3 linked regions of the Drosophila melanogaster genome follow. The protein of the gene in region 2 interacts with the protein of the main gene of each other region in a pairwise test. Each region holds a gene or a part of one and is shown on either strand. Other genes may lie near its edges.

Region 1 (11,462 bases), on a different chromosome or scaffold from region 2:
GCTCCGCAGTAGTAGTAGCCGCCGCAGGACGAACTGGATGCCGCGAAGGATCCCACCGCCTTGCCCAGACAGGGATCGGAGTTGCTGGTGCAGGTGCTCGGCACAGTGCCCGTGCACTGCTGGGCATTCTTGTCGAAGTAGTAGCCCTGGGGACAGGACATGGCCGTGAACGAGGATCCCTGGCACTGGTAGTAGGTCGAGCAGTCCGACTGGCTGGCCACGTAGTTCCCATTGCTGACCAGCAGGCACAAGGCGGTGACATTCACATCGGCTATTGCTGGAGCGGCACAGGCGATCACCAGCGCCACGGCAGCGAGGATGGTTGCTTTTTGTCCACCTGGAAGCGTTGAATATATTCATATGATGTTCCAATTTTTCCTGTTTCGAACTTTTATATGCGATACCCACCCATTATTTGCTTCTTCTTTTGGTGGCTCCTAGTTGAATACTGTTTCTGGTTGATGGACTTCCTGGGCTTTTATTTGCAGTCCAGCCAGGAGTTATCTTCGATCCGCTGGGCTGTCCAAGTTGATCGACGACCCTTCAGCTCAGGAACCCATTTTGTGATGTATCGCAAGCGAAGCCAACGAACCATTTTTGCATGATCGATGGCCATTTTGACAAGTCAACAAAGTTTTTGTGGGGATAAGAACTTTCCCAGAACTCAGACGGATAGAAATTTGGGTTCTTTTTATTAACTCAAATGTATTTTTTAGACTGCGTTTCTATAATTGGAATATTAAAAAGTTAATGTGTAAATAAAAGAGCAATAAAGAATTACATCGTGCTCTAAACTTATAACAGAGTTCGCATTTTAAAGCTAACGACTTTATAATTGTTATAATTGTTTAACCAAATGTATATACTTGATTAAATTTGAATGAGTTTTTTACCGAATTATATAATTCAAGTAGTACCATATCAAGAAGTTCTCCAAATATGGTCCTTTCTATTTTTTTTTTCAAACAAATCAATTAAACGAAATGAGATTAGAGTAATCTAAATTAGCTTAAAATTACCTACATATTATATGGCAAAACCCACACACTTTGTTTTTAATAATATTGACTAATTGTGGCGATTCCTAGACATATTTGTTACTATCGGAACAGAAAAGTTGGACTTATGTGGTAAAGCCCAATTGACTTTAAAAAAACAAGTAAGCTAGTGTAGTTCCTCGACTTTAAGATACTCAGTACTCATTTGAAGGGAGTTCAAGGACACTAGATTTTTTATATGTGGTTTACTTGTTGTAGCATACCTATACACCAAGTAATTTTCACATCAATCTTCTATATTCTTATACAATAGTATCTTTCCTTTCAACGAACACTCTGTACACTCATTTACTCTACGACTATCAGGTACAATTAAAACCGACGATCGGCAGATTATTTCATAAAGTTAGTTTAATCGTAAATAATTTCACAATAATGTATAATTTTAAACAGTAATCTCAATAAGTATGTATGTCAGTAAGAATCGGTCATCGTGGACTATTAATAGCATAATGTCGTGTGCACCTGAGTCAGCAGATCGCAGGCGATAAACATAATAACATTTGATTTTGAAATAAAGTTAATTACTATATGTGTAATAAATTAAATTAGACCCAATCTAAAGATAGTAATTATAAACAAGCGGATACGAATTCGACAACGAATACTACCAAAAAACCAAAGGTATGACCGCACAAGTTGACAAAAATAAAAACAAATTGGGTTTTAAATGAACTGCGCACCGGCGTTGGCCAAGTTTATCACTTGTCAAATTTGGATTTAACCGAATCTGATAAAAGTGAAATATGAATACGTCATGCGTCCATTTTAGCCACTGAAGACAGTTCTAGACTAACTTAGAGCTTCCAAAATTTACAGACCTTTCGGAAAACCCAAAAGTAGCGAGGGCATAAGCATTGTCTTTCGATTTGTATTTATTGGCGAACTTGGATGGCATCCAGTTAGACGTTCTTTTCCTCGTTAGCCGTTAAGAGGTACTTGTATCTTTGGAATACTAAAAGTTTGCTGAACTCGAGATGGGTGAGTATCTCTGGCACTAGCAGATATCCATCGAAGTAACTATATTGTTGTTTCGAGAAGAATTACCATTTCATAGACAGATATAAATATAGAAAACCGTAGACTTAGGCTCAAGAAGTTCATAACGAAAACTCAAACATTTATTGAAAAAAAAATATGCAATTTAAATCGAAATTGAAAGCATACTTCACTTGCAACTTATTTCGAATATCGTACTTATACCCTTTTATGCAAAACAGACACAAAGCTCGCCTTCATTTCCGGACTCATCATGATCCCCACGATATCAGGCGCCCTGACCTTCAATGCAACTCTAATATGTAGCTTGGTGGTCAACGGAACCAAGATGAACGATCCTCGGGCGTGCAACGCGTGGATTCAGTGCATCGATGGGAGCCCTGTGAGTGGTAGCTGTGCGACTGGACTCTTCTACGACCGGGAGAGCCAGAAATGCCTGAGTTCCAGTAGTATCAAGTGTCTGTCCAGTGATCCGTGCGCTGCTCTGCCCACCGGATTCGCGGCTGATCCGTACTCCTGCAATGGTTATTACTATTGCAAGGATGGCAAGGGGACGCACGGAGTGTGCAACACTGGGATGAATTTCAATTCGGGAACGCAGGACTGCATCCGCGATTTTCCGTGCTCGAATAAAATGGACCCGGATAGCTATTGCAACATCTTGCCGGATGGGGTCTTCGTCAAGGACACGGACAACTGCAATGGCTATCAGTTGTGCTGGGATGGCCAGGTGATCAATGGAACCTGTCCGGGCACCTTCTACTTCAAGGCCTCCACGGCCCAGTGCGATTATCCGCAGAATGTGGAGTGTGACTTCGTCCCAGTGCCAGATATTAGCAAGAAGGGTGTATGTCCAGAGACGGGTGGATTTATATCGGATAACAAGACCTGCAATGGCTACTACTACTGCAAGGATTTGGGCAATGGAGAGTTCTCGCTGGAGCATGGCGTCTGCTCCGATGGAAGATTTTTCCTGGCCACCGATGGCGGAGCCTGTGTCCCGCGATCCAAGGTGAAATGCGGCTACGATCGATGCGTGGGCTTGGGCAATTCCACCATTCAGCTGGCCAACGAGTCGGATGATGGCTGCAGGGGCTACTCGATCTGCCAGGATGGCATCGTCATTGGCCAAGGAACTTGTCCGCAGGACGAGTACTTCGACGAAATAACCCAACGGTGCACCACCCAGGTCATATCATATACCGCCTGTCAGATATCGGAGGCAACCACCGGGTCCCAAGTTCCAAGTGGCACCACCACCACCACCAGCAGCACCATCACTAGCACCACCATTGCGGTCCCGGTGTCGTGAGCAGCTCCTCATAAGTATAAGTAGTGCTGTTATCAGGCCCAAGTCCCATACAAATTATAGATCAGCTCTTTGTTTAGATTTCGTGGAATTGATCACAATACAAACATCTGAATTTTCAAATGTATTTAGGTATAAAAAGATTATTTCGAAAAGCTTAGTTGTACGATTAAAAGTTGACTCATTTGTGAACCATCCGAGCCATAATATAATCTTATCCCGCCTGCCAGAAAACGTCGGCTGATGAATGGCACTATCAGCAATATTTTGGTCTCGTGAGCGACGTACGCAATCAGTTTTAATTAGACAGTTTGTTTTTTCGACGCCGATACAATAAATATAAGTGGTGTAATCAGGCGCAATAACGATTAAGTTACCAGATCACCTCTGGGCCAAGATTTCCTTGAATCGATTGCCGAGCAAGACACTCGGTAACGTGAAACCGTGATGTCATACTCAAGAACACCACTTGGAAATTTGGCGATGGGAAAGTACCAGGGAGGTAGCCATTGGATCCCATTCATGGCCCATACATGGGTGATATCACCGTTTTTAACAACTGCAATAGGAGATTTGAATGGAAAAGTACGAAGTTATCGTACTACAAAGTTGATTATTCAAACCACTTTATTCATTAGGCACCATATATGTACATGTACATATGTCTATGAGGTGTCATAACAAGATAACTTATATTATTGAGTTTTTCGGAATTTGTTATCGTTATTTGTTATGATCAATAAATACTAATACATTATAGCGAGGCTGCAAAGTTGCCCCGTTTGTCATTTGAATACTTGACCTTTCCTACATACAAATCAATCATCCGCCCTGTGGACTTGTATAACTTCCTTCTTAAAGTGGACATAATTGATTTCTATGGAGAACGAAAGCGCGTCGATGCATTTCATTTGCATTTCACACTCATACAATATTTGTGGACCTAATGGGTAACATCGACCCTAATAGTTGAATTTAATTAGTGATAGACAAAAACGACCCTTGGGCGTTGGATACTTCTTGCTCGCCTGATGGCCAACACGGAAATAAGCGATCGCGGCAGCTCCGAGTAGCGAATTCATTATCTGGACTATCTGGAATCGGTTTGAAATTCTCCGAACCCTCCACTGGGGTACAATTTTAATTAAAACTGATAATTTTTTGGGCACTGCAAGTGTCACGAAAACAGATTGCCAAATATGAATCGTTGTGTGGCGCAGTTTTGATATCAAAAGGGTTGCCAGAAGAATTTTATCACGCCAACTTCGTTTCGCTAATGAACATTTCCGCCAATGTAGTTCAAAAATCAGTCCAAAAAATCATAGTATTTCTCTAGCATTATTTATACCAATTCATATTTTATTGTTCAAGGTTAGGGTAACATCTTCTATAAAGAGGAAGCAGACGGTAAAATTCGAATGGAAAGGGAATAAAACTACAATAGAGCCAAATGCAATGGATAAACTATATATATATACATTTCAGGTTTCAATGGAGTAACACATTTATTGGACATTTTTCGAGAAGCTAATATTTGTAGACCCATTTCCATGGTAAAAAGTAAATGGATGAATGTCATAAAACTTAACACTTCCCACCACAAAGTACATGAATTCCTTTCAAGCAATGCATTTGACCTCCACCATGAATTGGATCGATTTATTGGATATTTAAATTGGATGCGATTTGGTAAGGATTGTGGTAAGGATGCGATCTTCTGGGACAGCCTACACGGAACATGCGATGTTGTGGTAGTTGGTCTGTGTGCATCCCTGGTTGCGCTCGTCGAAGTAGTAGCCCGTTGGGCACTGGCCCAGGCTGACGGTCACTCCGCCGGAGCAACGTCCATAGCTCTGGCAATCGCCGGCGACGTTTACGTAGGTGATGTTGGTGCCCACACACCTGTCCAGCTGGCAGCGTACGTTAAGTCTGTCGCGGCACGAGAGCTTCTCGAAGTCGAAGTACTGGCCAAGTGGACAGCTCAGGTGCTTGGGCTCCGTGTCGTGCTTGCCGGCGACGGGGCTGCCACAGATATAGTAGTGGGAGCAGGACTCGTCGTCGGCAAAGTAGCCAACGCGAGCGGATCCGGTGGCACTGTCCAGGCAGAAGGTGTTTTCCGGTTCCGGCAGGGCGGCACTCTCGTAGCAGGACACCTCAGCCACATCCACGCAGTAGCCGAGATTAGCATCGTAGGCACTGGCCACTGGACAGGCTCGGCTGTGCAAGACCTCGCTGACGCACTCGTAGTACTGGTCACAGTGGACGGGATCGGCCAGACGGGTGTTGTTCGGCAGGGATCGGCAGGCGGGACTGGTCTTCTTCGTCTGGCTGATGGGGCAACGGTACTGCTTTTCGTACACGCAAGACCTCGATACGGGATGGAAGATCAGCTCGTTGGGACAGTTGGCCTTGATCTGCTTGTGCGACTTGCACAAGATGTAGCCGCGACAATCGCTGCTGCTGGGATCCACGATGAAGGCGCCTTCCGTTTCGTTGGCGCACAGGTTCGTGGCCTTGTCCGCAATGCTGTCGGCATAGGGACACACCGCGGCGCTGGAGGATGCCAGGATGCAGCGGCCTAGCTCCTTGTTGTAGTTGAGTCCTGCGGCACAGCCGCCCTGCTCCAGCACGCTGTAGTTGCTGGCGCACCGCACCCAGTTGTCGCAGGTATTCGGTCGCAGGAAGCTTGTCTCCTGCGGCAGCAGGTCGCACATCTCGGCCACCGATAGGTATTCAAAGTCCTCGATCACGCCGCCCAGGGCGCTGGCCACAAACAGCAGCGACAGGACACCGCTAGCTGCAAGTAAAATCGAAAATCGTGGGAACATTGTGTCAGGAACAGGATGGCATATCCAGTGTGCTTTACCATTTATTAACCCCAAACATGTGAGTCAATTTTTAAATTTAAACTACGATAGCTGGTACGAAAATTACCCTTCTGCCAGAAAGCCCTATCAACTTAAAAACTTAATGTTTGAATTTAATTTATATGTACATTTTTAAAGAGCAATTCTTTCAAACGAAATCCATCACTGTCAATGTTCAGCTGGCGTCCCACTTTAGTTTACCTCTATTCATGTTTTATATCCTTTGGTTAACTTGTATCCTGGTTTCTCGAACGCCCCGCTGCGATCTTGGCGGCACTCACAACTCAAATGATACTGCACCTTCGGAGGCTGGAGCTCTTAAATATGCAAAGGCCATTCTGCTCGGTTTTGTTCGGCGAAAAACAATTTCCAAAATGCACACGCTATCTCAATCAGAACTCCAAGATAGCGCTGATTTTTCGTTCTTCGATTTTTGATTTACTGATGTACGATAGCGGGGCCGCATGTAAATTACACGGCAATAACATCGGAATTGCCTATTTCGCAGAAGAACAGACTCCTGTGGTGGCGGTGGTATCGCATCGGATTGATAAGGGAATTGCATATGTCACGCCAAGATCTCCAAGATCTCAGCGCCATTGACGGTTCTCGAACATCTGAGAAACGCTGGAATAGTCATCTACAGACCGAACTCCCAATCTCATCGAATATCTTAATTCGGAGTTCGGACCAATAAATGAATTGCTGAACGATTTCTGCGTCAACTGAGCTCTTCGTCATGTCTCTTTGAATATTATTATTATTTTTTTGTATCATTTTGTTACCTATAACTATGCTATATTATACGATACCATACTAGAATATACTATACTATACTTTAGCCGCCGTTTACAGAAGTTAATATTCTAATACAATTTCACGTGTCTCTTTTATTTTTGATCTGTCCTTTAGCTTGGTTCAACAGCGACTGACTGCCGCGCTCTCTGCAGAGTGGCGAGTCGATTAGTCGATAAGTTTCTCGATAATATTTGTATGTTAAGGATGGGTGTATGAGTGTATAAGCTTATGACTAGATTGGCTATGTATAATTAGGTATGTATGACTAAGAGTAAAGGAAGAGGGTAGAAGGAGCAGCCTACTACAACTCGGCCGTCCTGACTACTAGATCTCCCGATCGTAGGATTTTATAACAATTAACGTTTCTTAAAGCTAAGGGTCCTGTTTCTTATTTTATTCTTCTTAGTGGAGATACTTTTGAACGGTCTTAAACATTTTTTTGGTTTTCTTTTCTTCTTGTTTGTTTTCTTTGTTTTACAATTGCTTCTTAAATTATACTTTCGATTTCGTACAGAGTTTCTTAAATTATACTTTCTATTTTGTACAGAGTTTCTCAAATTATACTTTCTATTTTGTACAGAGTTTCTCAAATTATACTTTCTATTTTGTAGACTCTTAATTTTTCTTTGCCAGTGTTTTATATTCTGTATGCTCCATACACCCCGGTAAGGATTGCGAGAAATTTGAAATCCATCAACATCTTCCAGAAGGAAGCGATCATTTTTGAGAACTTTGCTTATGACATAGGGTCCTTTATGCTTTGGAATTAACTTCTTAGCTATGCCTGTTGTTGAGTCAAAATTTTTAACCATGACGTAGTCGCCTTTTGTGAACACTCCTGATCGTTTTCGTTTTTTGTCAACATATTCTTTATTGTATGCTTGTGCTATTTTCTGACTTGCCTCGCCTTTATTTCTAATACTTTCTAAATCTCTTTCTTCAATCGTTTCTCCAATTTCCTCAATTTTTTCTTTTAACTCATCCATAATTTGTCCTTTTTGTTGTAACCCAAATAACATTATGCTAGGATACTGTTTAATGCTGCGGTGTAGTGTATTGTTCAGGGTATATTCGACCTTTTCTAAGACTAAGTCCCAGTGTAGACCTTGATCAGGTTCAATTAACTTGCTAATCATTGGACCAAGACTTCGGTTTATACGTTCAACTTGACCGTTGGCTTGTGGCGATCCTGTTGCAATTTTTATGTGTTTAACATTGCATTCTTTCAAAAATGAGTCAAAATCGCCAGACGTGAAACATGCTCCTCTATCTGATATGATACACTTAGGCCTACTGTATGCTCTGAAGTAGTCATTTAACGATTGTATGACTTCTTTTGTGTTCGTAGTTTTTGTTGCGTATAGTCTGACAAACTTTGTGAATGCATCTACTATCACTAGAATATGTTTCTTCGGTCTAGCCAAGTCTACTGGACCATAATGGTCAATATGGATTATTTCAAAAGGTTTGTTTCCCTTAGGTATGTTGTGTAGAAATCCTTCTGTTTTTCCTGTTTTGGGACTGAATGAAATACATTTTAAACAGTTGCTGATATGTGTGCTACACTTCTGTTTTAAATTTGGAAACCAATAGTTTTTCATTATAGCTTCTATCATTTTGTCTCTTCCTACGTGTCCAAGTTCGTTGTGATATTTGTATAACACTTGTTCTTCCATTTCTATCGGAACGTAGAACAGCAATCTATTTTCATTTGTCTTTTTGTAAACTATACCATTTCTCATCTCATACAATTTATTTTCTGTGTTTTCTAACAATTGCCTGATTTCTTTTAATTTTGTATCTTTCCCTTGACATATAACTAGATTATCTTCGAAACTGTTTGTTTGTATTACCATAATATTTGTACACCTACTCAGTGCGTCAACATGTTGCATGCGGCTACCTGCCCTATGCACAATTTCAAAATCATAACCTTGGAATTCTAAAGCCCACCTGGCTATCCTAGGGTTTAGCTCTTTTTTGCTTAGGGTCAAAATTAATGAGTTGCAGTCGGTGACTATTTTAAATGTCCTCCAATGAAGATAAACTCTAAATCTACGTAACGAATAAACAATGGCTAAAGTTTCTAACTCGAAACTGTGGTATTTTGATTCAATATCTGTTGTCCGTTTTGAAAAGAATGAAACTGGGTGCCATTTCTGGTCCTCCTTCTTTTGCATAAGTACAGCACCGAATCCAGAAGAACTTGCATCACAATGCAATTCTGTTTCGTGTTTATGATTGTATATAGCTAAGACCGGTGACTGTATTAATTTATCTTTTAACATATTAAAACAAATCATTTCTTCACTACCAAATTTGAACGGTTTATCTTTTTTTAGAATGTCATGCAATGGTTTAGCTAGTCTAGAAAAATCTTTTATAAACCGTCGAAAATATGAGCATAATCCCAAAAAACTTTGTACTGTATGAACATTATTAGGTATTGGGAAATTTTTTATTGCCTCGATTCCTTTGTCATTGGGCATTATGCCGTCTTTATTTATTATGAACCCAAGATATTTTATACTCGATTGCATAAACTCACATTTGTCTATTCTTAATTCAAGTTTATTTTCAACTAATCTTTTAAAAATTTCTTTCAACGTTTCTAAGTGTTCGTTTATATTTTCGGTTGCCAATAGAATGTCGTCCATATATACTACTACTTTGTTTTCTCTAATCATATCAGCAAAAATTTTGTTAACAAATCTTTGGAACACAGACGGGGCGTTTTTGAGGCCAAATGGCATTCGCAGCCACTCGTATTGGCCTAATGGTGTAACGAAAGAGGTGTATTTTATTGATTCTTTTTTAACATGCACGTGGAAAAAACCGTTTTTAAGATCGAGTTTGGTGAAAACAGTTTTCTCATTCATTCTATCTAACAAGTCATCTATAAGAGGTAGAGGATAGTTGTCTTTCATTGTCATTTTATTAAGTTTTCTAAAGTCGACGCACATACGTAAGTCTCCAGTTTTCTTTTTCACTAAAACAATAGGCGATGCATATTCCGAGTCGCTTGGTCGTATAAATCCGTTTTCCAAATATTCGTCTAATAGTTTTTGTAACCTGTCTTTTTCTGTGTATGAAAGCCTCCTAGGAGAACAGCTAAACGGTTTCGGGTTTTTCAAACACAATTGTATTTCACTTCTAACTGTCGGTTCATTTGGCCTTTTTGCATTTATATAAAAATTTCTAAACAACCTATCGAATTCTAGTTGTAACCTATTGCTAACATTTTCTCCTATTTTGTATTCTAACTCACTTTCAGTTACATGACATATTCTTAGTACTTCCTTATCAAAGTTGTGATTTAATTGTTCGTAAACGTTTTTATCTTTTGGCAATTTAAAACTAACGATTTCTTTTGAAGTGTTAACAATTTCATCTTCTGATAATTTTGATTTACTGACATTCTTTTGTTGATTAACTATTTCATCTCTTAACGATATTGGACCAGTTTCTTTATGCTGTTGATTAACGATTTTATTTTCTAACGATTTCGGACTAATAGTTGCATTTTTAAACGATTTTGGACTAACAATTTCATTCTCTAACGATTTGGGGCTAACAATTTCATTTTCTAACGATTGTGAACTAACAATTTCATTCTCTAACGATTTTGGACTAACAATTTCATTTTCTAAAGATTTCTCAGGACTATCATTTTCAGTAAACATTGATATTTTGTTTATTTCCATGGGTTTTCTCAACGCAATCATTCCCAAGGTGTACGGGTCTAAATTTAAATTGCATGCAGTTAAAAAATCTCTGCCGAGAATAACATTATACCTCATAGACTGGTCGCAAACAATGATTAAACGAAAATATATTTTTATTGATCCTTTCAATACATAACATGTGGTTTGTCCATGTGTTTTGAGAATACAGTTGTTTAAACCAAAATAGCAAGTATTAACTAGGGCTAACTTCATTGTCTCGTTAATAAGTGACTTTTTAATGATAGATATAGGACTGCCAGAGTCTATGAGGCATTCTGAAATTATGGGCTTATAAGCATTTTCAAAAAAATTAATTTTAAACCATCTTACATAATTATTAGATGAAACGCTCTTCCTTGTGGGACATTGTGCCACCAGGTGTCCAAGTTGTCCACAGGCGTAGCACGAACCTGGTTCACGTTTGGGCTTCTTGCAGATGTCAGCTTTGTGTCCTCTTGAATTACAGTTTGCGCATCGTATGGCATCTTTGTAGTCGGTTGGCTGTACAGGTGGCTCCCTCCGAGCTGGCAAACGGATGTTCGAAAATGCGCGTAGCATCTCCGATGGAGTAGAGAAGCATTGAATCCGTGCTTGGGTACGGAAATTTTGTAGCGGTATGCCCTCTATCATCTGGTCCAGTAGTTCGTCGTCGTCGATGTTTATCCCGTTTGAGAGAGCCATCTTCTCGTCGTAATAACTGCAGAAA
Region 2 (6,529 bases):
GGTTCTTCAGATTCAGTTGATACTCTTGTCGCTGGGCTTTCGGTGCTCGATGTGGGTTCCAATGTCGTGAAACCTGAACTCATCTATCTCATCATTGGACATATTATATGTGGTCGTTTCTCCTAATTCCTCAGTTGGAATTTCTGTGGCTTGTGCTTCACCTGCGTTTTCACTCATTAAAGTCTCATTTTGAACTGTTGTTGTATGAATCGCATCGGGCGCCTCTTCGGTAATCGTTATTAATTTGTTAAGATCTAGCTTTTCATCTGTTATTTTAATATTATTCGGTAGAGTCGTCTCTTCCAGAATGATACTTTGCAATGTAGTATTAGATATCTGTGAATTTACTTCTTTGTTTAAAGAATTTATTGCAGATACATCGGCTGGTATTGGTATATCATCAATTTGACTACTTTTTACACCAGTTTTAGTTACGTTTTTCGTTTGTTGGGATCCGACGTGGCTGATATTCAAATTCATGCTGTTATTTGCATCAGTCAATATGTTTTTCTCGCCAAGATTGTTGCCCTTCATTTTGTTAACTGACTGACGATCTGAACTGCTTAAATCAGTAGTTGTATTTTTAATTACCTTTCGATTAGGAGTCTGCTTTCGGCGCATTGGAGCGTTTGTTTTGTGTTTTTGGGAATTGGTCACTGTTTGTAAGTTCTTAGTCAAAGTTGTTATCTTGTTACTCTGGTTGATTTTCTGACGATCGAAATGGGCGAAAGTAATTTGACTTTTGCGATTTCGGTTTTTGTGGTTTTGGGCCAGTTGCGGACTAACATTGAGATATTTAATTTCATCGGAATTTGCCCTCAAAAGCTGCGGTGCCCGAGGCTTGTTTGTCTTTTTAATGTCGTTTCTATTATCGGGTGGTGGGTTTTCATTGCTGCCTGTGGGTTTTCCATTTTTGGCGGCTTGTCCGCTGGAATTGCTGGCAAGTAAATAATGGTTGTACCTTGTTTCTGTTCATGCGATGAAGATTTGCCAGGGCGGCCTGGTGGTCCAGGTAGTCCTGGTGGACCAATTGGTCCCGGAAATCCAGTTTTACCCGGCCTACCCCTTTGACCACTTTCTCCACGGTCACCACGATCCCCCTTTTCTCCTGGCGCTCCTTCTACACCTGGCAGACCAGGAATTCCTGGTGGCCCAGGAGGTCCTGGCGGGCCTGGGCGACATTGGCAATTGGGTTGAAAGCCGTAGTAAAAGGAAGAATCTATCGCTTCAGGACTGTAATAGTACAGATTGTTGTTATTATGAGCTGGTTTCTTTGTCTTTGGCCGCGATTCTACTTCAACCGGCTTGACTGGGGAAAGCAGCCATGATCCCTCGCAAAATGCTGAGATGGCTAAAATGCAAGAATCAGGTAAAGTAATGTTCTAAGGTTCTATCTTCTTAACTCGGCTTACCTATGAACAGCAGAACCGTGAGCAGCTTCATTTCAAGACGTCTCATTCGTGAATGAACACCTGCTCGTCTTAGATCATCTCTTATATAGACCTTAAGAACAGTTGGTCTAGACTTTAATGGGTTAATGCGAAACACGTAAAATGTAAATCGCAAATCTCAGATCTCATCAGCCTAATGATTTCGCATAAATTTAACCGAAGATTGGTCCAGATACACACGCATGGAATTCGATGAGGCTCAAGAAAAATGATTTATTCCATTTTGTCGATGTGCTAATACTATTATTAAATTGATTACCACAATTAGGGCTTAAATGTTTGGTTATTATTTAAGAATTAAAATGTATATTATGGCACAAGTTTTATTAACTTTCTTTAGTTATTTATTTGGTTCCATGTCGGCATTGATTGTTCCATTTCAGCCCCCATTGTTTTATTTACGGGGCAATAAAATAAGAATACCGCAAAAATGGGACGATCTGACTTATCTTCTTCATTATCGTTATCATACAAATTGCTTTTAAATAGTGAAATTTAATATGACGTTCAAAATTCTTCAAGACTTTAAGGCATTGGATCAACGTGACGCACGCATGCTTTAAAAAGTCGTACAAAACTAATTTATGGACAAAGAAATTTATTAATGAATTTAATCAACCTAATACCTGAAAACATTTGAACTTATTAATTTCATATCTGCCAAAAGTTAAATACATATATTACAAACAATTTTACTTGCCTAGCTGATAAGATTCAACAATTTACCATTGTATTTTGATAAATGATTTGAGTTGGCAATTTCATTCGATTGTCATTGAATTAATAGCTTATTTCAATATGATTTCACTTTTTTCATATCTTTGTCCATTGTTATTTTATAGAAAATCTAACAAAGCCGCAGACATTTCCAAGAACAACGGAACTATTTTGACAGCTAACAATAACGCAGTTTATTGTTTATACATTTAAATTTTTTGCTATACGAATTCTGCGAGATGATCTTATTAATACGGAAATCTACAGAGGTTCACTGCTTTTGTTTATTATTAAACATTTAAATTTTATTAACTGTATCAAAATCTCTAAATGAAACCCAAAAAGTAGTATTTTTAAATTGTTAGAAAACCCATAAAAGACTCATATTTTAATGTTATTTTTTTATTTTCTCGTGGTGTTGGCTTATTTATATATTATACTGTTCATAGGCGTAAATGTGAAAGGGATTTCGAGGAGTTCCAATTGACAGGATAATCGGACCTTTGTTGGTTCGCTCCTCAATTGCATCTCCATCCATAGGTGCGTTATCCTCCATCATATTCACTGGGTCCATCTGGTCCTCCATCATATGGTCCTCTTCCATCGCATCATCTCCTTCTGGTACCATATAGCTTGAATCCTCATCATCGATTTCTTCAGCGCCACTCGGAGATTCGGGATTCTCCACTGTGTTATCTGCATATTCAAGGCCGTAGTCCGCATCCTCGGGTTCCGTCTCCAAGTCATTGGGCTCATTGGACATTTCCTCCTCGCCCTCCATGAAATTATTTTCGTTATCATTTTCATCAATTATGTTTTCGACAATCTCCACATTTTCATCTAGCAAGTCCAGATCATCCCGTGGAGTTTGCTCGCCACTACCCTCTGGCTTAGTGGGTTTTGGTTGATGATGATGGGGGTGCTGGTGGTGTGAAGTTTGGCTGTGTCCTCCATTTCCGTGTGTACCAGTGTGGGGGTGTGTATTATGTGGGTCCTGCCCTCCGTGATTGTGTGAGGGATGATGGTGGCCATGTCCTCCGTGATTGTGAGGGGGATGATTATGGTTGTGCTCTCCATTGTGAGGTGGATGATGGTTGTTGTGTCCCCCGTGATTGTGCCCTCCGTGATTGTGGGGTGGATAATGGTGATAACCCTTGTCTCCGCCATCATGTGGATGGTGAGGTGGATATGGTGGCGGATAGGGGCCTGGATAATTGTGGCCTGGATGGTGATGGCCTCCATGGCCACCGTGGGGTGGATACGGATAGTAGCCTCCCTTATCGTGTCCTGGTGGATAATAGTGATGGTGGTGTCCGCCCTTGTCTCCCTTATGACCTCCTTTGTGACCTTTATCCCCCTTATGTCCCTTTGAGGGCCAGGGCACTGGCACTGGCAGAGGAATCCATGGTCCCGGATAAGGACCAGGTGGTGGATACGGGTACGGTGGGTATGGGTACGATGGTGGTGGAGGTGGCGGTGGTGGTGGTGGTGGTGGGGGTTGTGGATACGTAGTGCCTGGAGGTCCTGGAGGACCCGGTGGTCCCGTTCCTGCAAGAGATTAAATACTCAGTAAAATTTTGGAAAATGACTTATAATATATCCTTTCAATATTTTCACTGTTAGAGCGTTGTGATATATATGAGTAACGATTTTCTCTTACCTGGTGGGCCTGGAGGTCCGGGTGGACCTTTGGATCCCTTGTGGTGATGATGGTGACCATGTTCACCTTTCTGCGGTGGCAATGGTATGGGAACTATAATTGGTGGCGTCACGATCGGCGGGTGGGGATGATGTGAATGCGGGTGTGAGTGTGGTGGTGGTGGTGGTGGAGGCGGCGGAGGCGGAGGTGGAGGTGGTGGCGGTGGCGCTGGATGATGATGGTGGTGATCATGATGATCATGGTGACCATGTCCCGACTTGTGACCGGGTGGGCCTGGTAGTCCCGGTGGACCAATAGGTCCCGGTTCACCTGGTTGGCCTGGTAGTCCGTAGTGACCGCGTTCTCCCTTCTCTCCTCGCTCGCCCTTGGACCCAGTGTGTCCCTTGGGACCTTGCGGACCAGGCGTTCCTGGTAAGCCCGGCGGTCCAGGAGGCCCCGGTGGACCTGGCGGGCAATTGCAGTGCTGTGGCGGAGGCGGAGGCGGCGGCGGTGGTGGCGGATAGTAGTGCTGTGGTGGCAGCTTGTAGATCACACTTTGTGCTGGCGCCGGAGCCGGAGCAGCTTGTAGAGATGCTATCAGTCTGCCCGTCTCGGCACTCGGGTTCTTGGAATTCGCTAGGCCAAAGGCCCAGCCTGGAAAGGAAATGAATCCCAATTAGAAATCAGATCCATCCTATTTGAATCATATTCCTTACCTATCCAAAAAATCACTGCGAACAGCCTCATGGCGAAATGGTATCTGCTGCCTTTCTCCGGCGGACGGATCACTTTTATACCGCATTATGAACTCTTAATCTTGTATGCACACTTTGTTTAAATCACTTTCATTAATCTAGATTCACTAGAACCGTTATATCATGTCCATTCAGAAATCTGCTTGCCAAATCTCTCGGAAAATATGCAAACCTGTTCGCGATGATGCTATCATCCTGGGTTCTCTCTAAACTTATATATGTAAATTTATGTCCAATCCAAAAGTGAACCGCCTCTGAAGTATTAATATGTTAACTTCCATTTGAAAACAGAAGACATATGCAAAAAAGAACACATTCTCTGTTGCCGATTGTTTCGCTTTACGATTCGAATGAACCATGACTTAAAAATGGCAGAAAAAAGAGTTTTGTCTCTTAATTGGCCGTTTCTATCAACTTGTTCACACCTCGGTCGCGCGTCTCCATATGATTAACCCCGATGAATCGGAGCTATCCCAAAGTCAACGAAAGTGTAAAGGTTTTCGGACCCGGCATTTCTTTATCCGGGCCTATTGCATAAGAAGGGGTCGGGTCTGGATGGCATTGGGATTTGCCCTTGACTTCTTTTCATTTCCGTGAAATCTTACAAACATTATCAGGTCACTGAAAGTAAAGCTGATTGTTTAAATGGTAAGGGCTTTATTTCTGTACATCAGTTTGGGACATTATCATACAAGGGGGGGGGGGGGGGGAGGGGCTTTGCATTTACGTTTATGTTATTGATTAAGCTAAATGTATTTGTATTCAACTAGTTAAGCATAGATCCCACAGCAGCGGATTACTTCTTTCCGTAGTGAGACGGATCTACAGTGGCATATAGCTTTTGATCAATCCATTTGGTGAGGTCGACTTGTGGAATATTTGAGCACGGTATAATCGGATTCCTGTAATTTCAGAGCTCAGTTACTTTCCAAATAACCAATTTAATCAATTTAAACTTACGAATGGGAAACAGTCCGGAAAGCTTCGGGCTGCATGGATGAAATGTGGTTGCCATTGTCGCACAGCAAACGAGCCATACTGGCCTTCCTCAGCTCCTCCAGTTGATCTACGAAATTAGACATAAATAAATTAATATTTAAAATAGTCAGAGGAGAAATGTTCTTTTTACCAGGAGTAAATCCAGTGAGCTTGTCTCCGTTTTCGAAGAAGAAGCGATCGCCCACTCTGGTTCTGTAGAATTGTTCCGTGAGGATACACAGGAAGGTGGGTCCAGCCAAAGCTCCGGCCACATGCGCCTCCAAGGAGGCGCCCACAGTCAGATCCACGTCTTCGTGGCTCGGGTATAGCGACTTAAGTTTTTCCAGAATTGGTGGACTTATTAGATCACCGTATCCCTCCCACGAGTGGGCACGTCTCAGTCCGCAGAATTCCCGCATGTCATTGTAGGAAGCCAGACCGTGATCGCGATTACGCTGAATGTCCAGGGAACGCAGATCGGAACCGAAGGGCATGTTTCTTCTGAACAGGAAGTGCTTGATCTAAGCCAGGAAAGGTTGAGAGGTTAGAAAGGTGGTCTCATTTTGTTATTTGTGTACCCACCTGTCGGTCAAAATTGATATCAGTTAGCTCTTCGGGCTGCGTGGCGTGTCCTCTGGTCAGGGAATCAAAGTTATCTCCAACCTCAATAATACCGGGACGATTGAACCAGTCGCTGAGGGTCAGAGAGCCGAGAACTTGACGCAGCTCGGACAGTAGACTGCACAAAAATTTTAAAATTAATAAAATGTTCTTAACTCATAATAGTAAATAGGCACTTACTCCAAACGACCTTCAATCTGGGAATGGAAGTATCTGAAAGCGGCCGTCGCGTGCTCATTCAGCACCGATGGATCAATGTTGGGATCGAAATCGTTGATATAGCTTCCGGATGGAGCCTTGTAGATCAGCCGGTTCTTCAGCATGTTCTCGCCACCCAAGAAGATGGGCAGCCATTCGTAGTAACTGAT
Region 3 (12,304 bases), on a different chromosome or scaffold from region 2:
GCTCAGAACCTTAATTAGCTCGGTCATGCGGGCGGTGAAGCCGGCCAGGCGGGACATCTCACGTCCAGCGAGCACCAGGCGTCCGATGGCCTCCGCCAGCTTGACCAGCATGCGTCCGTAGGTGTAGTAGGCCTGCAGGCGCTGGCCGCTATTCTCACCGGACAGCAGCGGATGGTTTTCGGAGAAGAAGGGAATGGAGACGGCGTAGAAGCCCACAATGGAGGCGAAATCTGTGGGCGAAAGTTGAAAATGTTGGAATCAGGTGCACTCGAATGTAGATAGTTGCAGATGCATTCGTACATTTGCCGATAATGTTGTCGATGATGCCCATGCTGACGCGGAACTCGAGGAACTTGCGCAGATGCGAACGCAGCTTGGAGTAGCTGGCCAGCAGGGTGAGCTTCTCGCGCACATTGCCCTGGTAGAAGGCCACCTCCTCCGAGTTGGTGATCAGTCGGCTGTTCACATAGCGGAACTCGCCCTCCAGCTTCTGCTCCTCGACGGTCAGGCGACCAGTGGGGCGGCGCAGGCGTGTCAGGAAGACGCCGGCGAAGAGCAGGTAGAGCATCAGGATCGATGGTGTCTTGCCGCCCAGGTTCACCGTCAGGCGGTACACGTAGATGAAGATGTCCAGCACGGGCTTGCTGATGTTGGAGTAGAGGTCCGTGGCGCTCTCGCAGAACTTGTCGATGTCCGTGGTCAGCAGCTGGTCGGCGTTGGCTATCCTATTGTCCAGATTGGACATTTTGTAGTACGTGTAGCCGCTGCAATCGAACGAGTCTGGTTAATATCTGCCCGACTGGCTGAGCAATCTGTCCATGGCACTCACTTTAGGTACTGACTGTACAGGTGGTGTGTGAGGTTGGTGCGGAACCTCAGCTTCAACTCACCCAAGCTCCACTTGAGGACGTTGGTCACAACGGAGATCTGCAAGAAACAGCAACGCGAAGCTAGAACTATTCGTTGTGTGGGTAAATCGCATTAGTATCCCATACCGCTGGCAGAGCTGTCAGGTATTTGAGCAGCGCCGTCTTGAACTTGGTGCGATTCATGTGTATGATGGTGCTCTCCACCACCGTCGCGTTCTGGATCATCCAGATGTCGCTCACCGAGCGGCCAATCAGTGCGGCGGCCACCAGGAAGAGCAGTCCGGTCTCCACGCTCCAGAAGCCGGGAATGAGGATGGCTGCAAGGGAAGGGAAGGTTGCACGTGATCCGAGAGACTGCTAAAGGATCTCTATGAGGATCTACTTACGGAGTAGCTGGCGGAGCTGTTTGAAGAATACTGAGTTAACGTGCGCCTTTCCCGCCTTCTTATCCTTCTTCTCGGCAATTGTGTACTGGATCTTGTCCTCATAGCCGGGTTTTCTGCAATGAAGATAGCATATTAAAAGTGTTTGTAACTAAGCTATATGTCGTTTGAAGCAATAAAATATGAGAGAAATTAATAACTCTATTAGTTGGCCGTATTTACAAAGGTTCTTTCTGTTTGCCCTCTATAGATATATAGATATAATAATACATATGTTTGATCTTTGTGGATGGCAGACAATTGGACTGCTCAAAATCTCCATTGAGTGCTAATGGATTTGGGTTATGGCTCAATAAACTTAATAATAAATTAAAACTCGTACAGCAGTTATGAAAAATGTTGATAAGAGGAGTGGTCTTATCATTCCAAAACTGTTTTTAGCCAACGATGTTGTGCAGTTTCGATCATTGGCCAGGCAAATGTGCAACGTTGATGGCAAATTTATGAAATAAATCACAATAATTAAACTCCCTGTTTGGATAGCCAATTTGAATAGCAACCTTTGCCTTTTTATAGCAAGTCGCGCTATCATCGGCGCCGCAAATAAAGAACGAACTTCGTGTTTAGTGTCTCCATAAAGTCGCTTATTTGCAATGAAGGTGTGCGATTAAATCCAACAATTAAGACGCCGGGATGAGCCATGACTTTTCACACCACCGCACTTCATTAGGTTGGTTAATGACAAATAGATAAATACAAAAAAATAAAAAAACGACTCGATCATCGTTCGTACTTTTTACAATCCGGTAAATTATTCACATGAAGCCTGCTAAATTTTGCGTGCGTTAACAAATCGTCACTCTAAATATTCGATTCGTTTGATAAACAAACATTTAGCCCGTCTATGCAGCAATACTGCAAGCGAAGTCGCTGTGAGCAAAGTACTCAATATTGTGCAGATATATGTAGAAACTTTTCCAAACAAGATGCCATGGAATCGATCAATAAATCAGTTGGCTAACTTTTTAAGTCCACCATTTAACGTGCGTAATTCACAAAATGTTTCGACTAATTAGCCGATCGATAAGTTTTATCAATTAAAACGATTATAATTTCCAAAAAAAAAAAAAAACATAAAATATTTATTTTAGATTGCATGGAAATTCGGCTAAATAGTTTAACTATCTCAAACATTACTCACAAGCTATGGGCTTTCGTTATCACTTTTGCTTGAGCGTACATTAAAAAAAAAGCACATTTCCCCAAATTTGCTACATGAAATGCTTCCGAGATAATTTGTTTGAATTCTTTTCAGCTGCTAATCGTTGTGGGATCAAGGTCCGGATGAAAACCGGTGCCCAGAGCTGACCAGCTCAACACAAGCCACTGGGCCATTGGCTAACCGGCATTGGATCGCCAATCGGATCGGATCGGATCGGATCGGATCGTATCGTATCGAATCGGATGGAGTCCAAAATCGCCACCTGCCCAGGGTTCGAAGTCTATGGGATAATGTGGGTGATGAGATGTGAGGTGCTGGTGTTGCTGGTGCTGGTGCTGGTGCTGGTGCTGGTGCTACTGGTATGTTAGGCCAAACAAAGTACAAAGCTCGCGCCTTGGTTATCTGCAGGCTGGAAAAAGCGACGAGTCGTGATGACTTGGTTATTTCTTAAATATCGCTGCGCAGATCACTGAATTATTCATAGCGCTCTTGTATTTATTTCTATATATATATATATATATATATATATATATGTTTCCATCTATCTATCTTTCAATCCGTCTGTGTGTCTGGCTGTCTCTCGTGTGGTTTTCCTTTTTTGATTCGTAGTATATTAAACTTGTTTTCACCGCCTAGACGTGGAACATGTGTTTGGGTCCATAGGTCAACACCGGTGGCTCCCATTGCCATACCCATACCCATTCCCATTCCCATTCCCATTCCGAAATCGCCTGCCCCTGCGATTCATCCAAAGCTCTCTTTCGCTAATCGCCGGCGATCGCCTAATGGGGGGCACATTGAACCCGGGCGCGAGAAGATCGGTTGGCGTCTGACTCAGATAGAGACATTGCCGCGGATTGCAATCAAAGTTCAGTGGTTCTTGTGCCGCATAGCAGCCGCTATCGAGCTAGTTTGTCTGATAAACGCTGGCCAAAATCAGATAGCTCGACACAGCTCGGGCATACTCATCACCTGTTGCCTTGGCTGTTACCTGTAGACCTCAAGACCCGTAGTCAGTCTGCCGGCACTCACACGCTCACTCCACTCCGCTTGCGATGTCTCAGAAGTGAGAGCGAGTGAGCAAGTGAGCGAGCGAGTAAGTGAGTGAGTGAGTGAGTGAGTAAGTGAGTGAGCGGTAGGCAGGCAGGCAGACAGACAGACATACAGGCCTTGGCAACGTGGCATCCGCAACAGGTGCAAATGTCAGAGCTCGGCTGCGAATCTGCATTGAAATTACGATCTCATTTCACGCACCGTCCGAGTAAAGGCGAGAATTATACAAATTACACGATAAATGGCTGCCTTGCGGGGCAATCCGATTATCGAGGGCCAAGCGTTTCCCGGGCACAAGGTCTCTCCATCCATCCGACTCTTCCACTTCCCCATCCGAAAGTCTGGAGCGCGCACAGCCACACAAGCTATTGCGCAACAGCCGGCGGGACGGGCCGGGCGATACAGAATGTGTCTACCTGCGAAAAACAGAGCAAGTTGTACACAAATTAACACCTATACCCCATTACCCATTACCCATCTCGAAGGCAAAGAGCTGGGAATGGGAACGGGAATGCGAATGGAAATGGAAATGGAAAAATGAAACCAGAAGCCACTGGTCCTCTGCGCTTCTCTCCATCCAATGTTGTGGATGGCACGACGCAAGTCATTAAAAGGCACGGCTGTAATGTTTATGCTTTATACCCGGGTGTCATCATGTCATCCATGGAATGGGTGTGTGTGTGTGTGGGTATGGGTACGGACTTGGGTCCGGGTAAGGGGTACAATCGAGTGTTGTTGCAACACCAAAAGCAAACTGCCCACCGGTGGTTGCGTGTTCGATTGCAAGGCAGGCTGCTGGATGTCAAGTCAAAGTGTTTGGACCTTTGGACTAATGAGCTTGGGTGTGTTGTCCAATTGTCCAAACCCTTGATAGATTGCAAAGACATTATTGGCGGTGCTACGAGCTAGCATAACCGTACCATATCAGTTAACAATTCTAGGGCCTGTCCTTGATATGAGGCTATAAAAAAAACACCGATAAAAAAGCGCCTTGAAAGTTGTGCAAGAGGCGTTGCTACTCGGAAACTCGTTGACACATTCGAAAAGTCCCTTTTAAACTTTCAACGTTCTTAATCATTCAGCGATTAGCTCTTGGACTTGAAAGTGAATCATAGAATGAATGAAATTAAATGAAATTATATGAAATGAACCACAAAATTCAACCACTGATTCATATGAAAGCATAATCGAAGTGGAGCTCCACTTGCGAAGCCCATTTGGTTGGTTGGACTGTGGAGTGTCCAGTCACTGCATCCATTGAACCGACTGCACCATCCACTGTGCAAAATTCGAACAATGGAATGGTGCATAAATTTAGCGGCCATCCACAAGTGGCGGCTACCTCGCTCGCAAAAGTTGCATAAAAAAGTAAACAGCGCATTAAAATGCTCGATTTCGATCGCCTGCCAAAGTGCAGTGCACTTCAGAGAAGTTGCTGAAAGTGATGGCCACCGGTTGGGTATCCAACATCGGAGTGCTCGGCATACTCCGAGTACTCGGAGTAATGTTAGCAATTAACGAGTGGCACATGCAGCCACGGCAGATCCCCCACAATCCCATGCGGATGGCTGGCTGGCTGGCTGGCTGGCAATGCAATCACCCACCCACTCCACTTGTCCGCCGCAATCTGTCTAATTAATTGGCTCTGTCATGCAAATAGTCGATTGCGCCCGCTTTACCCGTTCAGTTTATTCAATAAGATGAAATCGACTGATAGCGGTCAATTGCGCGCCGAACCCCGCACACATCGAATATGACCAAATATTGAGCGCGTTAACAACAGCATAATCGGCACGAGTGGCGATAGTGGAATGGGGCATATAGATGAAGTGCTGTAGACTGGCGCGTTGCCGATTAGATTAGCGGCAAAGACCAAGTCCATTCAAACACCGAAACGTGGCCCTTAACCGGGGAATCAAGTCCGCATCGCAGGTGCTCGATGGGGAAATCCTTGAAGCGATACCGCAATGAAGCAGGCCGCCAAGAAGTGGCTATTCGGGTCATAATAGTCGAGGGCGCCGAGAAGGCTTTCCTAATCGAGTTTGCTGTTTGGCCGGAAATGTAGTGCCTATCTGAGTCTACCTTCTGCTAAGTACGCGGAATTCCTCCATTCCTCCCAGACAATATATACATTCAGACCTATCCTAGATATCAGTATATCTACATAATAGGGATAGACTGCAAACAGATCCAGCTACTTTGGTTCACATCTACTTAAATGAATCGATGATCTGTTGACTTTTTTTTTGTATTGGGACTGCACTTAAAAATATCTTTTTGAGAATCTTCAAAACGTAAGCTGGTGGTCGCCAAACTTATTATAAGATTATGGCAATGGGTAACACAATTGAAAAGAACAGTATTTGGAGCTGCAAACGAACTGTCCGGCCCACTGTGCGCGGCTGCTGGACGAATCAATTGAAACCGGACTACAATGAGGGGGAAGTGCATACAGTGTGGCAGAAACGGCCATCGGAAAACCAGTTTTTGCAGTCCGCCAGATGACCCACAATAGTGGCATCGCATCGTATGTCCCGCAAACAAATCTGTTTGTACATAAATACACAGCGATCCAAAACTCAAGTCAATATCACGGACACATCGATGGCCAAGACCGAGACCTTGTGCAATAAGATGTTCGTAGAATATTGCATATTGCACAGGCAACATAAATAACATGGTTGAGCCACAATTATCCGTAATTAAGATCAAGGGGGGGCTTACCGCTTCTTGTTGGACATCTTTCCGTAGGCAATTATCCAGAGGGCCGCCGTCATGCCCGCCACGCCGACGATGGCGCTCTGGTTGTTGGCCAATTTGCTTAGAGCCGGGGCCATTCTGCTATTGCGATGTGGCTACGGATCTCGTTTGGCTTCAAATTGGGCACCTTGTGAATTTTACAATTCGCAATTTCGCGTTCGCACTTCAGTGTTCGATTAACCGCACGTGGGGGGAGGGGGTTTGCACAAGGAAAAAATTAAAAAAAAAAAATTATAATAAATAGTAAGTATGAAAGGGGAACAGACACTATTGTTTATTGCACGGATTTCAATATTTTAATCGGCTGTTTGATGACGACACAACACACAGACATGCACACACACACAGATGGTGGATAGCAGGATGTAAACACCTGGTTGTCGAACAGCCCTGTCTTAGCTTCGTCCTCTCTCGCTCGCACCCTCTCTCTCTTTCAGGGCAACTGCTTCTTCTTCTTCCTGTACTACAACTGGTGGTGGTGATGGTGCTGCTGCTTCTTCCTCCGCTGCTAGTGGCGCTCCTTTTCTGGCCAAAGGGGGTGGGCAAAGTGATTGTCACACACGGCGGGCGCTTTTATTTATTCAATTTGAGCCAGGCGCATTTCTTTGTTTGGTAATTACACTCTACTCAGCTCGACCAAATCGAGAAATCTGACGAAGTGATACGTGCGACGCGCAAAAGCCAGCAGGCAACTAACTGTAGTGCGATGTGCGCTAGTGTTGGCTACCACGACAATGTGCGGGCAGCGGCGCTGCGGGGGCAGCTATTTCGCCGCCAAATCTGGCTATTTCTGAACGAAGAGCTATCGAACAAGTTATCACCGATAATTATGAATCGAAAATATCGTTCATCTAAATTTGAGGTATTAAATATTTTAAATTAGCCAAATTTAAATTTCCCCGCTTAAACTACCTAAACTATTGCTGAGCAATCATGTTATATAAGTAAATCATATAATGGCTTACTCTTACGAAAATTCCACTAATTTTTATATCTCTTATGTTAAGCATATTAAAATGTTAAATGAATAAAATGTTAATGTTTCGTTGATTGCAAAAAAAAATTAAGTTAAATATTAAAAAATATAACCAGAGCAGACAAATTTTAAGACCTTTAGTCCTTTAGGTATTATAGAAAGGAAATCTAAAAACTATATAAGTATCAGCCAAATCCCCTAATTTCGAACCAACTAAGCATTGTATTCCAACTCCGCTTTAGATCTTTCCACTCCCATCTTATCGAAGTGGAAAGCATTTGCCTTCCCCATTCTAATCTAATAAACGCCAGTCGGCAGATTAGAGATTGCGATATCTGCAGGGCCAGTGAGAAGGCATAATACGGGTCCTCAACATAATGTGTATATTCTAATGGAGTTCATAGCCAGCAAATCATTTAACAATGGACCTTCGATGTGTCGCTCTATTACAACATAACTCAATTTAATGTCACGCTGACGCAGGTTCCGACTGGTGGGCATGGCCTCTGGCCAGAAACAGGGCACAGTTTCGGGTTGGCGGCGGTACACCGCCGAGCAGGAGTCCCGTGTTCCGTGGTTGTAGTTGTGGGCCAGCCGAGCAAAATGTGGGACAAAGTCTGGTCAACATGGCAACCTGCAACGGGCGGGAGACGGGGCTTCTCGGCGCTGGTTAGCTGCGGCGCCTAGTCGCAGGAGCCGTCTAGCCAGCCGTCGCGCCACCTCTCGTTCACCTTGGTGCAATCGAAGAGCGGTTTGCCCAGTTTGTCGTTCACTCGGTTGTGGAACTTGCACAGCCACAGTGCTAGCTCCTTTTGGGAGTTCACATTGATGGGGTTGACGTCCAGGCTGCAACAGAGGTCCAGCTAAAGTGTCAGCGTTTTCAAATGGATTGAAGATGCACTTACTCGGTGCGAAAGTCCTTGGCGCAAAACTCGCAGGGGTAAAGGCGCGACAGAACCTCAAAAAAGGTCTTCATGTCGCGCTTCTCGGTGTCCGTGGGGTTGTCCGAGTAAAAGGCGGCCATGGTGTGGAGCAGTCCCCAGGTGGAAATTCCCAGCCTCACCTTGTCCAGCGGGCAGTCGTCGCGGGGCAGCGGATCTTCGGCGGCGTTGACGGTCAGCTTTTCGGCGGCGGCCATGTGCTTCACCTGGAGGAGTATGAAAGTGGGAGATTCTTGTGTTATCGTCCTGCTTGCGAAGGCGAAGTGGCCAACGCGATCACGTCACCTTGGCGCTCTGCACGTTGGAGATGAGGCGTTGCTGCTTGGACCACGACTTGAAATCGTTGCAGGTGCGGCAGTTCGAGTCCTGTTTGCCGGCGCCGCTGGCACCGGCCTTGCGGTTCGCTGCGAATGGGGACTCGTGGTGCTCCTTATCCATCTCGGGATTCGCCTCGGCAGACATGATGAAGTCCGGGTCACGGATCAGGCGGAGAACGGTGCGCTGCAGACGGCGAATTACCAGGCGAGTTGCTTCCCGGCTGAGTTCGATGTGCGTGGGGCTGATGTAGTCGTAGCCGTAGTTGTGGGACTGGCGGCGCAGCAGAAGCGTTGGTGTGGTGGGTAGTTCTAGAATCTTGAAACTTCGCTCGGCTATTGTGAAAATCATAAAAAGCATGCGCATGGTTGCCACCTTGTTTCGAAACGAAACACATAACATTAGGACATATCTGGCTAAGCGGCTTAGTTAAGCGGCTGCAATCAACGCAAGTTACTAAATACTGGCTTTTAGATTCATGGCCAACATCTGGCCAAGGACCAAAATCCGGTCAGCAAAGTAACATTTTCAAATTATACCGGCCAGCAATCGAAAATCGATGCGAAATCGTTCCCGAACGGGAAGCGATCTGGCAGCCTGCTCGCAGCTGTGATCGATACCAGACCGTTGCGAGTTGCGCGCGCAACCGCGACAATTCAAATAGCACAGCGTTCAGAAAATTACTAAGGTTTGTTTCTCAATCAATTCGAGACGCTCGAAAGAACTTACATGTGAATAGGATGGAAGCTGGCGTTTGTGAGTGCTGCAGCCCCAGATAAATTTTGCGCCTTGGAACTGTTTAAAATAGAATAACACATATGCTATTGGCAATATTTATTGATTTTTCTGATCCAAATTTTTAACGTACACAATAAAATTTTTTTTTAAGACTTTTCCGTAAACTTCTACATTTACAGCGTTAAAATCTGATCTGTGACATAATTTGCAAAAGCTCTGTGTGATCTAAAGGCACAATCTCGGTTATTGTGTTCAAATAATGTATTAATACAATAAATTCACTTAGTAACAACTACAACGTCTGGCACGTGAGTAAGACAAGTTAACAACTGGCCGCCGGATTTTGGGTTTGGGTTAGCTCTGCTCTGCTCTGCTCCTTCCTGTTCCGAGCAATCTGAATCTGGAGCAGATCGCAGTGGTTAGACGTACGACACATAAATATATATATATATATATAAACATTCCTTGGGCTGATTATACGCGACGCAGCATTTAGTTGTGGTTTTGAGAGTTAGGATCAGTAAGCTTTAACCGCTGCATCGCCTACAATCAGTTTCGAGAACGCACATAAATTAGGCGTGTAAACACTATCAAAAAGTTAATATAAAATGTAAAATTGGCGCCGCTTGTTGCTCCTGCAACCCGCTGGCTCGTTCCATCCGGGTTTCACTCAGGCGAAGTCCCTGAACATGGTGAACAGGCTGTATAGGACGCGCAGGGTGGACTTGAGGTCCATGTTCACGATGTCCTCCGGCCGCGCCTTTGGTTTGGGCAGGCCCACGTCCTGCATCAGGTCGAAGGCGAAGGCCACGTTGCTGACCATCTGATCCACGTCCTGCGGCGTCAAATGGAACTCGTGCAGCGGCACAAAGAATCCACCGAGCAGGCCCATCAGCAGGCACAGGTATACGCCGTCGCGAAAGTCCGTGTTCAGATCGCTGATCTCAAAGTTCAGCTTGGCCAGGTGCTTGTTCACGAACGTGATCAAGGACTTCTTCACCACGGCCAGCTTGTCCGGCGCACAGTCGATCAGCGTGTCGAAGGCGTCCTTTTCGCAGCGCATGCCCAGGTCGTCGTACTCGGACGTTATCTGCTCCTGGAACTTCTGCGCGTTCAGCACGCCCGCATTCTTCTCCGCAATCACGACGGTCACGAACACGTTCTCTGGCAGGCGAACGGGCGCCCGGAAGTGACGCACCAGTGCCACCAGCAGATGTAATATGGCCACAATGTTCTTCGAGTGCACGCTGGCCACCGACCACTTGGGAATCTTTTGGTGAAAGCCGAGTGTCTGTGGGTGTGGGCAAGGATAAAATTTATTCTTATATCGCGAGAAAAGGGAATGTTAATTGTAAATCGAATAAAAATTATTCTATTCGACTTTAAGAATGGATAAATAATTAAATGTTGGTAACTCCGATTTTTAAATCCTGCAAAACATAAACTACTACTACTTACATGGTTGACGGCCTTCAGGACGATGTTGAGCTTCTCGTGCTGGCCCTGCTCTGACTGGGTGACCTCAGGAACGTCCAGCTTCTTGCCGGTGAGCTTCTCCCACAGCTTGTGCAGCACCTGGCCGTCATACATGTCCTCTTCCAGGTGCTGAACAATTATGCGCTGCTCGGCCAGCTCGTCGTTGATCCAGTCGACGAGGATGCGCTGCAGCTTTATCACCTGGGGATCACTGATGGACTGTGGATCGATGACGGCGCGCTGTTCGTGCTCGCCTGTAGGATCAAATGTGATGAGTTGTGGGAAATGCGATGGGTATACGAGGAGATGCCCCTTCAAAACGAATGCACTTACGCAGGGCATAGTCCTCCGGCGGGATGTCATACTGGCTGGGCGATCCAGGCGAGTCGATGGCGTACTTGCCCTCCTCTTGGACCTTCTTCACTGCAAATGGAGCAAGCGGATGCGTATTTAGGGTATCAACAAGGTAAACAAAAACGGTGACGACACAAGGCCATCTCACACAAACGCACACACTCTCGATTATCAGCGCCGTTTGCTTGTGTGGGTCAACAGTGACGCAATGTTCTGATTAATCAGCGCATCCGCACATCTGTTCCCAGAAGAGCTTCCAGTGCGCAGGGGGAGGATCCATTGGGTCATTTTGGGCCACTTTTCGGAGGTTCAGGGGTCCAAGAATGGAATACTCTGGGATACCCATCAATTCCTGGCCGACAATAGCCATCTGGAGAGCTCCAATCATCAAGTGGACTTACCTTCGCGGGTGCCGCGTTTGCGGCCCAAAGTGCTGAACTTGTCCCAGAAGCTGTCCTCCTTCTCGCCCTTTTTAATGGCGGTGGGCGTGTGCGGGGATTTAGGGCGGTTCAGTGTGGACATGGTGCTGCTGGATTCCAAGAATTCCGGACTAAGTGAACAGTTTGTGTTATTGTTTCGATTCGTTTCGGGCGGAGCTGAGCAATCAGTTTCCCTTGGGGCTGCCACCTGATCGCAGGCCCACCACACATGTTGTCCAACACTGGCGTTCGGACTCAAGAGAAACTTCCAAAAAAATCGAATAAAAACTAAATTGCCAATTATAAAAATTGTTTAAAAAGACCTTAGATTAAATTAAAACAATGAGCTTAAATGTTATTTTTCATTTATAATTTAAAAAAAATGTGGCTTTTGACAACAACAGCTAGAAGAAATTCATATCAGCTTAATAGTTTTTGAATTTGTACATCAAATTAAATTGTTGGAAATTTTAAAAAAATTATAATGCGTAGATCATTAGATCATTGATTAAAAAGCACAACAACATATGTATGTATGTATGTCCTTCATACCGAATCAGATCAGATATAATTCGTATATATTAGATATGCTATATCCAGAAAGATAAATTTCGTACCGCTTAAAAATTATTGTACCACATTGCGTATACAGATAACTACCAATCCAATGATTTAAAGGCTTTCAGAATAGTTACATATATGTATAATACGGAACTAGGGCTATACTACGTCTATGGTTTAGATGGAGTTGGGCAACTGGCAGGCGCGCACAGCCACGAGCTGCAACAGAACGAAGAT

What was found.
Region 1: the proteins of CG5225 (region 2) and CG7017 interact in a two-hybrid assay, tested with the Drosophila melanogaster proteins (one large-scale study listed by BioGRID).
Region 3: the proteins of CG5225 (region 2) and Abcd3 interact in a two-hybrid assay, tested with the Drosophila melanogaster proteins (one large-scale study listed by BioGRID).

What each region holds. Positions count from the first base shown.
Region 1 is NT_037436.4:20,205,590-20,217,051, forward strand, and holds CG7017 (uncharacterized protein), read right to left. Parts: upstream 6,534-11,462; 5' UTR 6,445-6,533; coding exon 6,435-6,444; intron 6,164-6,434; coding exon 5,094-6,163; 3' UTR 4,703-5,093; downstream 1-4,702. Other genes in the region: CG7290 (uncharacterized protein), read right to left, coding at 1-337, 409-412; CG6996 (uncharacterized protein), read left to right, coding at 2,036-2,039, 2,279-3,369.
Region 2 is NT_033777.3:17,026,731-17,033,259, reverse strand, and holds CG5225 (uncharacterized protein), read right to left. Parts: upstream 4,568-6,529; 5' UTR 4,555-4,567; coding exon 4,524-4,554; intron 4,462-4,523; coding exon 3,829-4,461; intron 3,717-3,828; coding exon 2,596-3,716; 3' UTR 2,559-2,595; downstream 1-2,558. Other genes in the region: CG31268 (uncharacterized protein), read right to left, coding at 13-896, 962-1,351, 1,413-1,443; Pxd (peroxidase), read right to left, coding at 5,359-5,464, 5,523-5,628, 5,692-6,061, 6,123-6,279, 6,342-6,529.
Region 3 is NC_004354.4:19,745,494-19,757,797, reverse strand, and holds the start of Abcd3 (ATP binding cassette subfamily D member 3), read right to left. Parts: upstream 7,029-12,304; 5' UTR 6,661-7,028; exon of another isoform or gene 6,451-6,660; 5' UTR 6,365-6,450; coding exon 6,252-6,364; intron 2,928-6,251; exon of another isoform or gene 2,495-2,927; coding exon of another isoform or gene 2,454-2,494; intron 1,369-2,453; coding exon 1,256-1,368; intron 1,187-1,255; coding exon 996-1,186; intron 928-995; coding exon 830-927; intron 765-829; coding exon 301-764; intron 231-300; coding exon 1-230. Other genes in the region: Alr (augmenter of liver regeneration), read right to left, coding at 7,947-8,109, 8,169-8,410, 8,490-8,885; parvin, read right to left, coding at 9,928-10,548, 10,716-10,987, 11,067-11,156, 11,489-11,609; CG33932 (uncharacterized protein), read right to left, coding at 12,245-12,304.